Linked DNA regions of Macaca mulatta. The protein of the gene in region 2 interacts with the protein of the main gene of each other region in a pairwise test. Links are inferred from orthologs where the notes say so. Each region holds a gene or a part of one and is shown on either strand. Other genes may lie near its edges.

Region 1 (3,950 bases), on a different chromosome or scaffold from region 2:
AGTTGAGGGAGAAGATTCCACAGGGTTCAAGCTGGCCAGGTTCTACCATTCCTGGCCCGGCGCCTGACCTCTGAGCAGTGAGGGTCAGTGAGGTATCTGGGAGGACTGGCATTTCGCGGGCTTTATTGGCATCTTATTCGACTAAGGCTACCCATTTCTTTTCCTTCCTGCACCAGTAGCCCTGATTTTAACATGTAAAGGTCCAACTGCTGGGCTCCCCGTGCCTGCCCAGCTCACAGGGAGATTTGAACCCCTCAGGATGCTGCTCTCCTGCCTGCCTCTCTCGCCTCCCATCCGGACATTATTTTAATGTAAAGGCATGGCTGAGGCACAGAAATCCCCTTGAAATGTATCATTTCGGTCCTCATTGACTCCCATTGTGTGCCTTAATGGTGGGCCCAGTGGGTGGGGGCTGGGAGGGGTGGAGCAGGTGCATGGGGCAGGGGTGCCCAGCACCTGTTCCAGTCGCAGCTGCTGGCGCACTGCGTGGCAGGCCCCTTTAATCCGGGGGTATCGCATGTACAGTGCCCCCCTCGGCGCCCTTTGTCCCCACCGGCCTGGTGCCGATTTCACACTTGCCAGGAGTACCATGAAGGCGTCTGGGGGGCGAGGGATCTGAGGAGTGGGGGTCAGTGCCTCCTGCATATGCGTGCAGCCCCCGCCCCCAGCCCATCATGTCCTAGAATGTCTCCTTCCCCTTTTGTTCGGGTTTGTGTCTCATCACACTTAGAGCACTTACTGTGCAGGAGGTAGTGCTCGGGACTTCACCAACAGCCCTGGGAAGGGAAGGGGGGTGCCATCGTAACTCCAGTCTTACAAATGGACTCCAGCCCCTTTTCCAGATCTCTAGAGTCAGCCCTTAGTTCACAAGGGTGAACTTACCCTTCTCATTCACATGAAGACTTAGAATGCAATCAGCAAACGCTTCAGGCCTGGCGTGGGGAGGCTGCTGAGTAATGGCAGAGTGGAGTAGTGCTCAGGCACCCCTCCCCCAGTCCTCTGTGTCCCCCACCCTTTGGAGTGTCGAGTTTCCATTTCTGCCCCATGAGAGTGAGTCCAGCTCTCAGGTGCTCCATAAGTCCCTATGGAATGCATGGGTCCCATTGGAATCATTCTCTGGACTCTCTCCTACCCTGGTAGCTCAGTGTAGCACCCTAGGCACCCAGGAGGTGATGGAATGAATTCACTCTCAGCTCTTAAATTCCATCCAGCGCTGGGATTTCACAGACAGGCCCTGGCCTCGCGGGCATGTCAGGCTGGGCGTGAGGGGATTGGAGAATTGCATATTTTTTAAAGAGACTATTCAGTATTATAGAGTAGTGTCTAGCACATAGTAGGAGATCAATAGATTTAAAAAAAAAATTATAGACAGGGTCTGGCTTTATTGCCTAGGCTTGTCTCAAACTCCTGGCTTCAAGCAGTCCTCCTGCCTCACTCGGCCTCCCAGAGTGATGGGATTACTGGCGTGAGCCACCACACCCGGCTTCAATAGATTTTTGTTTAATGAGTTATTGTTATGACCTTTTATGTGGAAAATGCTGCATCCCCCAGAAAAAAACAAACAGCATTATTGGTGTTTTTGGAACTGTAGCCTTTTGGTTGGAGCAGGGATTATTACAAGGCATGAGTGAGGGGCAGACTCCTCTGAGGCCTTTTTAATTTTTAAAGCAGACTTAATTATTCTCTAAGGGCTTATTGAGGACTTACTGGGTACCCAGCTCCATATGCAAGACTTTTTCCGACACAGCCTTGGCCAGGCAGATGGTGTGTCAGAGGCACAGGTTTCTATAGCCTCTTCGGTGTTAGAAAGGGGCCCAGGCCCTGGGCTGGGGCTTAGAATGGACTCAAAGAAGGCCCCTGCCCTTATGGGACTCAGCCTGATTGGAGAACAGACAAGGAGATTTGGGATTACAGCACCAGAGGTGGGGTAGTGAGGAAAGCAGGCTGCTGGCCCAGCCCCAGGAGTGGCCTAACCAGCTTGGAGGTGGGGGTGGGGAGGCCTCTTAAGGCTGACTCTGGCTTTGGCCCCGATAAGTGACAGTAGGACGAATCAGTAAAGATGTTCGGTCGTCGTTGACCACTTCGCACATCTCTGCGGGATGTGGATGAGTACTGTGCCCTACCTTCTGTCACTTACCAACCCCTATGAGTGGGGGATGGATAGCCCGATTTTACAGGTGGAAAAATGGAGGCTCAGAGAAGCCAGACAACTTGCCCAGAGTTGCACAGTGGGAAGCAGCAGAGCTCCGTCAGGTCCCAGCCTTTGGACTCTGGCTGCGTGTTTGAGTCCTGACTTTCCTGGGATCGTGGGATTCTTTCGGGGTTTAGGGTATGCGGGGAGGGATTCCCATCACTGCCAGCTGTTGTCCCACGGCTCATTCGGCCTTTCTGGCATTCTCTCCCCAGGCGAGAAGCCCTTCTCCTGTCCCCACTGCAGTCGCGCCTTCGCTGACCGCTCCAACCTGCGGGCCCACCTCCAGACCCACTCGGATGTCAAGAAGTACCAATGCCAGGCGTGTGCTCGGACCTTCTCCCGAATGTCCCTGCTCCACAAGCACCAAGAGTCTGGCTGCTCAGGATGTCCCCGCTGACCCTTGAGGCTCCCTCTTCCTCTCCATACCTGCCCCCTGCCCGACAGCCTTCCCCCAATCCAGCAGGAAGGACCGACCCCACGTCCTTCTCACTGCCATGGAATTCCCTTCTGAGTGCCCCACTTCTGGCTGCATCAGCCCCACAGGACCTTGAAGACCATTTTCTGGTTCTGTTTCCTCTGCCTGGGTCCCTCAGTGGGCTCTGGAGGAGGCCTTCCCGTGGCCTTTTCTGTGGAGGGAGGGCAGCTGGCAGTCCCAGCCCCCAGGGGATTCCTGAGCTGGCCTTTCTGCATGGGTTTTTGTATCCAGAGCTGTTTGGATACAGCTGCTTTGAGCTACGGGACAAAGGCCGACAGACTCACTGGGAAGCTCCCACCCCACTCAGGGGACCCCACTCCCCTCACACACACCCCCCTACAAGGAACCCTCAGGCCACCCTCCACGAGGTGTGACTAACTATGCAATAATCCACCCCCAGGTGCAGCCCCGGGCCCTGCGGAGGCGGTGGCAGACTAGAGTCTGAGATGCCCCAAGCCCGGGCAGCTATTTCAGCCTCCTGTTTGGTGGGGTGGCACCTGTTTCCCGGGCAATTTAACAGTGTCTCAAAAGGGACTGTGAGTAATGGCTGTCACTTGTCGGGGGCCCAAGTGGGGTGCTCTGGTCTGACCGATGTGTCTCCCAGAACTATTTTGGGGGCCTGACAGGTGGGCCTGGGAGGAAGATGTTTACATTTTTAAAGGTACACTGGTATTTATATTTCAAACATTTTGTATCAAGGAAACGTTTTGTATAGTTATATGTACAGTTTATTGATATTCAATAAAGCAGTTAATTTATATATTGAAAAGAGTCTGGTGTAATAGAGGAGTGGGTATTTTAAAAGGTCTTTGGTAGGGGAGGAGGAGACAGGAATTCCTGAAGCTTAGATATTTCTGACACAGCCTTAAATCTTGTCCTTGGAAACGTCACAGGGCTTTGGAGTCCTGGGTGTTCTGTCTGCTGGTGTTTGGGTGAGCCAGCAGCATCCATATGAGCTCTTCACTATACACTGTGGCTCTTGTTTACTTTCTCATTCTTGAATTTTGAAACCGATTTGGCGCATGGGGTACAGAGCTGGCTTCCTGGGTCTTATCAACTAGGCAGGCTGCAAAGCTGCCCCAGCACTGCAGGTCTTTTGGGGCCGCTTCCCCCACATGCGAGTGGAATGCGACCAAGGAGACAGAGGATGTCCTTCCTGTTTCCAAGGGCTCCCGGCCCCCTCGGGCCTCCTTGTCAGTCCCACACCTCCGTCTTGCTGCTGGGTACCAAATGGCCTTTGATGCAAGGAAATTGGCTGGCTGGAGCCAGGAGGGTGAGAAG
Region 2 (3,517 bases):
GGATCCCTTGGATCCCTTGAGCCTGGGAGGTGGAGGTTCCAGTGAGCCGAGATCGTACCATTGCACTCCAGCCTGGGCAACAGAGTGAGACCCTGTCTCTCTCTCTCTCTTTCTCTCTCCTTCTCTCTTTTTTTTTTTTTTGTGTGTGTATCTGTATATCTATATACTTTTTTAGAAGAGTTAATGGGAGACCCTAGTTTCTGTGTTTTGATATTATAGAAATGGTGCTGGGCAAAGAGCTTTGGACTGGTCTGCATGAGTGAGACATGACGGGTGAAGCTCTCCTTGGGCATCAGCGGTCCTTTGCCAGCCTGTGGTCCTGAGAGTCATGGCCGGAGCTGAGTGGGGCAGGGTCAGTGCAGGTGCATCTGCGCTGGGAGCTGGGGAAGGGGTGCAGTGTCTCCATAGACACCCTTATATTCCTTCAACCTGCAGGTGGAGAGTGGCCAGCGGCCTGCCTAACTGGCAGGCATGGGAAGGCTAAGGGCTGGGAGCGCCAGTCTGGCCACGGGGCGGGTCTGAGCAGGGAGGAGGAGACTGTGTGGAGTTGGCTTACGTGGCAGCTCCTATCAAGGACATGCAACCCAGTCCTGAGGCCGGGAAGGCTGTGTGGGAGCCAGAGTGAAGCGGGAGTGAGAGGGAGCTGGCTGGAGGAAGGCACTGGCAGCAGGAGAGCTGGCACAAGAGGAAAGGGAGGCAGCGAGGCTGGGAGGACGCTGTGTTAGGGAGTGTGCACTGCAGCTTGAGGGCAGTGGGGTAGGAGAGAGGAGAAGGACAGGTTCCGGTTTGCACGTTAGAAAGAGTGCCTCACTACAGTGTGAGGGCAAAGGAGTGATCATTCAGAAAAAAACAGGAACCGTCTCAGAAAGTAGCCAGCAGAGTGGCCGGAGCTCAGGGGAGTCTGTGGGTTCTAGGGACATTCAGGATGGCAGGACTTGATTATGGACTTCGTGATGAGAAGGTTTGGTGATGTGGGAGGGGTCCCAAGGGAGAGAAGGAAGTCAAGGAGGGCTTGAAGGGTTCTGGATTGAGCTTCCTAAATGAGAATACATCTTTGAAATACGTTCATCGTGGTCCTTCCCAAAGCCAGGGGCTGGGTGCCTCCTGGACAAGAGGCGCCTCTGAGGATTCTCTCTGAGGATTGTCTGCCTCTGTGGGATCAGAGGTTGTGAAACGCCCCCGGCTCACTGTGCTTTTGTGGTCTCTTCCTGACAAAGCACCAAGGAGGAGTGAGCTGAGGGCAGACGCGGGGGGACACCCTCCTCCATTGTGTGGCTATGGGGGTTCCCCTTTGGCATCTCTTTCTCCAGCCCCCAGGGAAACACTCTGAGGGTGCTCAGGGCACAGTGGTGGCCCACTGATCACAGCTGCCCAGGCTGTGGTGGCTGCTGTCTGTAGTGGCCCCAGCTGGACTCCTTGTATCATTACTTGCAGGACCAGGTGGACACGCTGACCTTCCAGAGCCAGTCTCTGCGGGACAGAGCCCGCCGCTTCGAAGAGGCCTTGAGGAGGAACACAGAGGAGCAGCTGGAGGTAGTGTCTGGATTCCAGGCTTCCAGCCCCGCAGGGACCCCGCCCCAGCGAGGCCAGCGGGGCTCCCTCAGCAGTCCAGTCCCGAGACAAGGCCTCTCTGTGAATCCACTGCTGAAGTGACAGCTGGTCACGGCCTCCCCTGGATTTTTAAACAATTGCTGTCAGCACCTCTCCCCTGAGACAGACAGCAGCTGTGGGTTTCTCCAGCGACGTGTTATTTTTGCCAAATTCCGCAGCATTCCCCAGCTGGAGTCCCAGGGCTCCTGTGATAAGCATGGTCTGGAAACCCCCACCCTGGCCCGGCCACCCCTTCCAGCCCGTTCCCCCGGCCCGGCCACCCCTTGCGGCCCGTTCCCCCGGCCCGGCCACCCCTTCCAGCCCGTTCTCCCGCAACTTTTTAGGCTGACGTGGGGCAGCCTTGGCTGCAGCATGCGTTAACAGGTTGAGGGGAATTTTTTCCAGAAAAGCTGGCAAAGTTCCTTCCCTCTAATGTAGGGTTGCCAAATAAAATACAGGACACCCAGTTAAATTTGAATTACAGATAAATTTTTGAGTATAAGTCTGTCCCATGCAATACTTATACTGAATTTTTTAAAATGTCATTTATCTGAATTTGGATTTAACAGGACCTACTGTATTTTAATTTGTTACATCCAGCAGCACTACCCCAACGTGACTTTTGTCTAAAATGGCTTTTCTGCTTCTTAAACCACTTGACTCATTTCCTATGCATGGGCTCTTTACGGGCATAGGTGAGACCTGTAAGAGTCCCAGCTACCTCGTGAATCAAGTCTTCCGGGTGAATGTTAAAAGCCAGTGTTGGGTTTACTCTTTCTACCCCATGAGCTCCCTGCTAGGCATAGGCTGGCAGCACCCAGCAGTTCTGGAGTCAGACTTTCCAGTTCACGATGGCCGTGTCTCACCTGCTCCCCCATAGAACTGGATTTTAGGAGGCTTCTCAGTGGGAAACTTTATCAGGGAAGGCTGTAGCATCCTCTCTCTTTGGTGTCGCAGTTGCCATCAGGGCGCTTGTCCCAGGAGGATGGATTTAGCTGGATTCGTGGTATTGGTTAATACTGGGTTTTGTCGGGAGCCCTGGTCAACAGCTCATGGCTCTCTGCCCCTGTAGATTGCATTGGCTCCTTATCAGCACTTGGAAGAAGACATGAAGAGTCTGAAGCAGGTATTAGAGATGAAGAATCAGCAAATACATGAGCAGGAAAAGAAGATTCTCGAGCTGGAAAAGCTGGTGAGTTGGTCCGTTTGCTCGCGAGAGTAACTAACCTCCATGACATTCCTGCTGTCATCACTGAGGTCATCGTTGACACTGAGGTGTTCAGCCAGGTGTGTCTGTTACCTGCCCATTGCTTACACCTATGCAGAAAATCCCACCGCAGGCCTTTCCCAGGAAGCCAGGAGCTCTCATAAGGAATCTTGGAGGTGGCCTTATCTTGTCCAACTCTGGAGCCTTTCTGATGGGTGGCCTCTTTCTGCTTTGCGCTGGTTTTCCCACAGTCCTGCTGTCTCCTTGCCCTCTCTTGGGGACGTGTGGTGACCCAGCACAATGCAGCATCCCCAGTGCCCAGGCACTGCACGGAGCACTTTCCCCGAGCCTGCTCCTAACTCCTACAGCTGCCTGTGGAGGAGCTGCCGCCCCCAGCCGCTTTACAGATGCGGAGATGGAGCTAGGAGTCCTGGCCCAGTGCTTCGGGTCCTCACAAGGCAGTAGGGGCCAGGGATCTCCCTGGGGCCCTTTTTATAAGGGTATTAATCCCGTTCACAGGGGCTCACCCTCAGGACCTAATCCCCTCCCCACAGCTCTGCCTCCTAATACCATCACTTTGGGGTTAGGTTTCAGCATAGGAATTTTCAGGGACACAAACATTCAGTCCAGAACAGAGTCCTTGCTCTCACCCACACTCGTCCACCTCAGCCCACCAGCCTGGCTCCTGCAGAGCTAGTAAAGGGGAGCACAGAACACCCA
Region 3 (3,909 bases), on a different chromosome or scaffold from region 2:
AGCTGGTGCTGTGTGTGCTGGCCACTACTGACCGAAGGCGCCGCGACCTTGGTGGCTCAGCCCCCCTTGCCATTGGCCTCTCTGTAGCCCTTGGACACCTCCTGGCTGTGAGTCAGGGGCCCACCCAGATGGTGGGGGCGAAGGGAGGGCAGGGGCTGGTGGGGTGCCCTGCCATGGGCAGCCAGTGGAGCTCCCGGCAGGGCTCTTGCCATTGGGTGGAGGACGGCAGGTCAGTGCTGGGGACTGGGGGGCAGGGTCCTGCCCTGGAGAGGAGCAGAGGGACCTCCTGCCCAGCTTGGGGTCAGCACTCCTCTCTTGCTGGGTCTCATTGTCCCCCACCCTGATTGTTCTCTCTCCCTCCACCCTCTCCCTCCTCTCACTCTCTCTTCACCTGTGACTCTCTGCCTTTGCCTCTCCCTGTCTCTTTCCCTCACAGATTGACTACACCGGCTGTGGGATTAACCCTGCTCGGTCCTTCGGCTCCGCGGTGATCACACACAACTTCAGCAACCACTGGGTAGGCGACCCACAGGCTGCCCCTACTGTGCAGGGAGGTAGGGTGGGAGGCTTTGGTGTCCCATGGTAAGCCTGACCCCACTCTCACAGTGTCCCTTCCTGTCCTGGAGGCTCTAGGAGACAGCCAGGGGACAGGAAATCAGGAAACCGAGGCCTGCCATGTAGAGGCAGGGTGGGGTCACACTGTGAGCAGTTTCAGGCCCAGTCTCTGCCCTCCCAGCTCGGCCCTGCCCCATGCTGCCTGGCCTCCAGGTCATCCCAGTTGTGTGGTTGAAAGTGGGGCTCCAAATCCTGGCTCAGCCACTTTCAGGTTCAGCATGACCTTGCACCGTGTGCTTGAGCCTTGGTTTCCTGAGCTTCGGAGGGGCATATGGTGGTACCCACCTCTCAGGGTGGCCAGGAGGAGGAAAGGGCTCACTCCCTATCTGTAAACTGAGCGCAACACAGAGGAGGCGCTCAGTGGATTTTGTCTCTTATGGTTGTGGATGTGGATGTGCTAGGCCAGCTTTGCATTAGGCAATGGTATCTGGGGCCCTTTCAAAGCTGGAAGCGTGGGGGCAGTGGCCTTCCTCAAGAAGGGGCTGCTACTGCCCATGCCTGAGCTGGGCCATGCAGAGGCAAGGAGGTGCCCTTACCACGTACTCTGGCCTGGGCCAGTTTTGAGGGCACTGGAATCAGGATGTTAGGATTTGGTGCTCCTACCTGCCTCCATCGCAGGTGGGAGAAAACCTGTCCAACGGGGTGGTGGGCTGGGAGGTAACCCAGGGAACGATTTCCAGGGGCTTCTGAGTGGAGCCGTCTCAACGTACCTGCTCTGTTCCTAGATTTTCTGGGTGGGGCCATTCATCGGGGGAGCCCTGGCTGTGCTCATCTACGACTTCATCCTGGCCCCACGCAGCAGTGACTTCACAGACCGCGTGAAGGTGTGGACCAGCGGCCAGGTGGAGGAGTATGACCTGGATGCCGACGACATCAACTCCAGGGTGGAGATGAAGCCCAAATAGAAGGGGTCTGGCCTGGGCATCCACGTAGGGGGCAGGGGCAGGGACGGGCGGAGGGAGGGGAGGGGTGAAATCCATATTGTAGACACTCTGACAAGCTGGCCAAAGTCACTTCCCCAAGATCTGCCAGACCTGCATGGTCAAGCCTCATTTGGGGGTGTTTCTATCTCTTTCTTTCTCTTTCTGTTTCCTGGCCTCAGAGCTTCCTGGGGACCAAGATTTACCAATACATCCACTCCCTTGAAGTCGTGGAGGAGGTGAAAGAAAGGGACCCACCTGCTAGTCGCCCCCTCAGAGTGTGATGGGAGGTGTGCCACAAAGTCCCCCCTTGCCCCAAAGTTGCTCGCCGACTCACCTGCGCAGGTGCCTGGGATTCTACTGTAATTGCTTTGTGCCTTTGGGCATGGCCCTCCTTCTTCTCCTAACATGCACCTTGCTCCCAATGGTGCTTGGAGGGGAGAGATCCCAGGAGGTGCAGTGGAGGGGCAAGCTTTGCTCCTTCAGCTCTGCTTGCTCGCAGGCCCCCGACCCGCTCGGACTTATGGCCTGACCTTGGAATTGTCCCTATCTCAGGGCCTCAGCGACCTCCTTCTGCAAAGTGGCAGGGATCGGCAGAGCTCAATGGGCCTGCAACCCCTAAGTGCAGACACAGTATGGGTCCAGAAGATGTGGTCTAGACCAGGGCTGCTCTTTCCACTTGCCCTGTGTTCTTTCCCCAGGGGCATGCCTGTTGCCACACGCCTCTGTGTACGTGTGTGCAGAGCAGACAGGCTACAAAGCAGAGATCGACAGCCAGCCAGGTAGTTGGAACTTTCTGTTCCCCATGGAGAGGCTTCCCTAGACAGAATAAAGCCATTTAGAGGGTGAAGGAGGAATACCCATGTTATTTCTCTGAGTTTCAGTTGGTCTTTCCATCTATCACTGCATTATCTTGCTCATTCTTTCAGTTCTCTACTCCCTGTCATCAGTGTAGACACAGGTCACCATTATGCTGGCGTATGTTTATCAAAGAGCACTTGAGCTATCTGAAGCCCAAAGCCTGAGAACAGAAAGACCCTGATGCAGGTCAGCCCATGGAGGCAGATGACCTTGCTGGGCCTGGGGGTTTTCCAAGCCCTCAGCTGGTCCTGAGCAGGATGGAGCAAGCTCTTCTCTTGTTCATGAGCTCCTGGTTGGAGGCATTTGAGCAGGTGAGTAACCTGCACAGGCTTGCCGTGTGACCCCTGGCCACAGCCTTCCCTCCGCATTGACCTGGAGGGGAGAGGTCAGCCTTGACGTGATGAGGTTGCTATAGTTGCAGCCCAAGGACAGTTCAGAGATCAGAATCAGCTTTGAAGGCTGAATTCTTCCACTCATCTATCTACATAAGTCCATTCATTTCCACCAGGGCCAGAGCAGCTCCACCACTGTGCACTTAGCCATGATGGCAACAGAAACCAAGAGACACAATTACACAGGTATTTAGAAGCAGAGGGACAACCAGGAGGCCCTTAGCTATCACCAGCGCATCACGACTGCACACTGTCTTCTCCATTCCCTAGCAGGAACTTCTAGCTCATTTAACAGATAAACTGAGGCCCACGGTTTCAGCTAAACAATGATTTGGCCAGGCCTAGTAACCAAGGCCCTGTCTCTGGCTACTCCCTGGACCACAAGGCTGATTCCTCTCATTTCCAGCTTCTCAGTTTCTGCCTGGGCAATGGCCAGGGGCCAGGAGTGGGGAGGGTTTGATGGAGGGGAGAGGGGGCACACCCACCCCCTGCTTGGTTCTAGGCTGCTGCACACCAGGGCCCTGCATCTGTCTGCTCTGCATATATGTCTCTTTGGAGTTGGAATTTCATTATATGTTAAGCAAATAAAGGAAAATGACTTGTAAGGTCCTTCGGGCTTCCTGTAGTTTTTCTTCTTTTGATGCCATGTCCCCACAAATGTTTCTGGATGACTCCACAAGGAAATCAGTCCACTGCTAGAGACCTAGTCTGAGGAGGAGCCACTGCCTCCTCTTCTGCCTTCAAGACCACCAATCTCAGGCGATGGATACAGCCACACCCCCAAAACCCTATCTGAGGGATACAGGGTCCTGCCCCTAGCCGGAGACTTCCAGAGCCCAGTGGGATGACTTTGGAGACCTGGGGTCAGGGAAAAGGGGCAGGCTTCTGATCAGTTTAAATGGAGCGATGGGAGCCATTTCTGATTCCGGAGTATGGACGTGATGGGGGAAAGCAGGCCTGAAGTCTAACAGCCCCCTCATCCCCTCTACCCTCCACAGAGCAGGGCCCAGGGAACACTAGGGATTGTTCCACCTTCCTCCCTCCCTCCACTCACATTTGCAACCCATCTGACCGGGGCTGGGCATCTCAGGGGAGACAGACTCACTCATCAGAGCCCAGTG

The links. The genes of interacting proteins can lie anywhere in the genome.
Region 1: the proteins of MTUS2 (region 2) and SNAI1 interact in binary tests that used the Homo sapiens proteins (3 or more experiments, as listed by UniProt). The two-hybrid records come from large-scale screens. The link is inferred for Macaca mulatta from reciprocal best matches to the Homo sapiens genes MTUS2 and SNAI1.
Region 3: the proteins of MTUS2 (region 2) and AQP1 interact in binary tests that used the Homo sapiens proteins (3 or more experiments, as listed by UniProt). The two-hybrid records come from large-scale screens. The link is inferred for Macaca mulatta from reciprocal best matches to the Homo sapiens genes MTUS2 and AQP1.

Annotation. Positions count from the first base shown.
Region 1 is NC_133415.1:102,827,296-102,831,245, forward strand, and holds the end of SNAI1 (zinc finger protein SNAI1), read left to right. Parts: intron 1-2,406; coding exon 2,407-2,591; 3' UTR 2,592-3,438; downstream 3,439-3,950. UniProt on the Homo sapiens protein: Involved in induction of the epithelial to mesenchymal transition (EMT), formation and maintenance of embryonic mesoderm, growth arrest, survival and cell migration.
Region 2 is NC_133422.1:9,392,793-9,396,309, forward strand, and holds part of MTUS2 (microtubule-associated tumor suppressor candidate 2), read left to right. Parts: intron 1-1,434; coding exon 1,435-1,533; intron 1,534-2,662; coding exon 2,663-2,782; intron 2,783-3,517. UniProt on the Homo sapiens protein: Binds microtubules. Together with MAPRE1 may target the microtubule depolymerase KIF2C to the plus-end of microtubules. May regulate the dynamics of microtubules at their growing distal tip.
Region 3 is NC_133408.1:97,453,251-97,457,159, reverse strand, and holds the end of AQP1 (aquaporin-1), read left to right. Parts: coding exon 1-107; intron 108-436; coding exon 437-517; intron 518-1,340; coding exon 1,341-1,520; 3' UTR 1,521-3,397; downstream 3,398-3,909. UniProt on the Homo sapiens protein: Forms a water channel that facilitates the transport of water across cell membranes, playing a crucial role in water homeostasis in various tissues.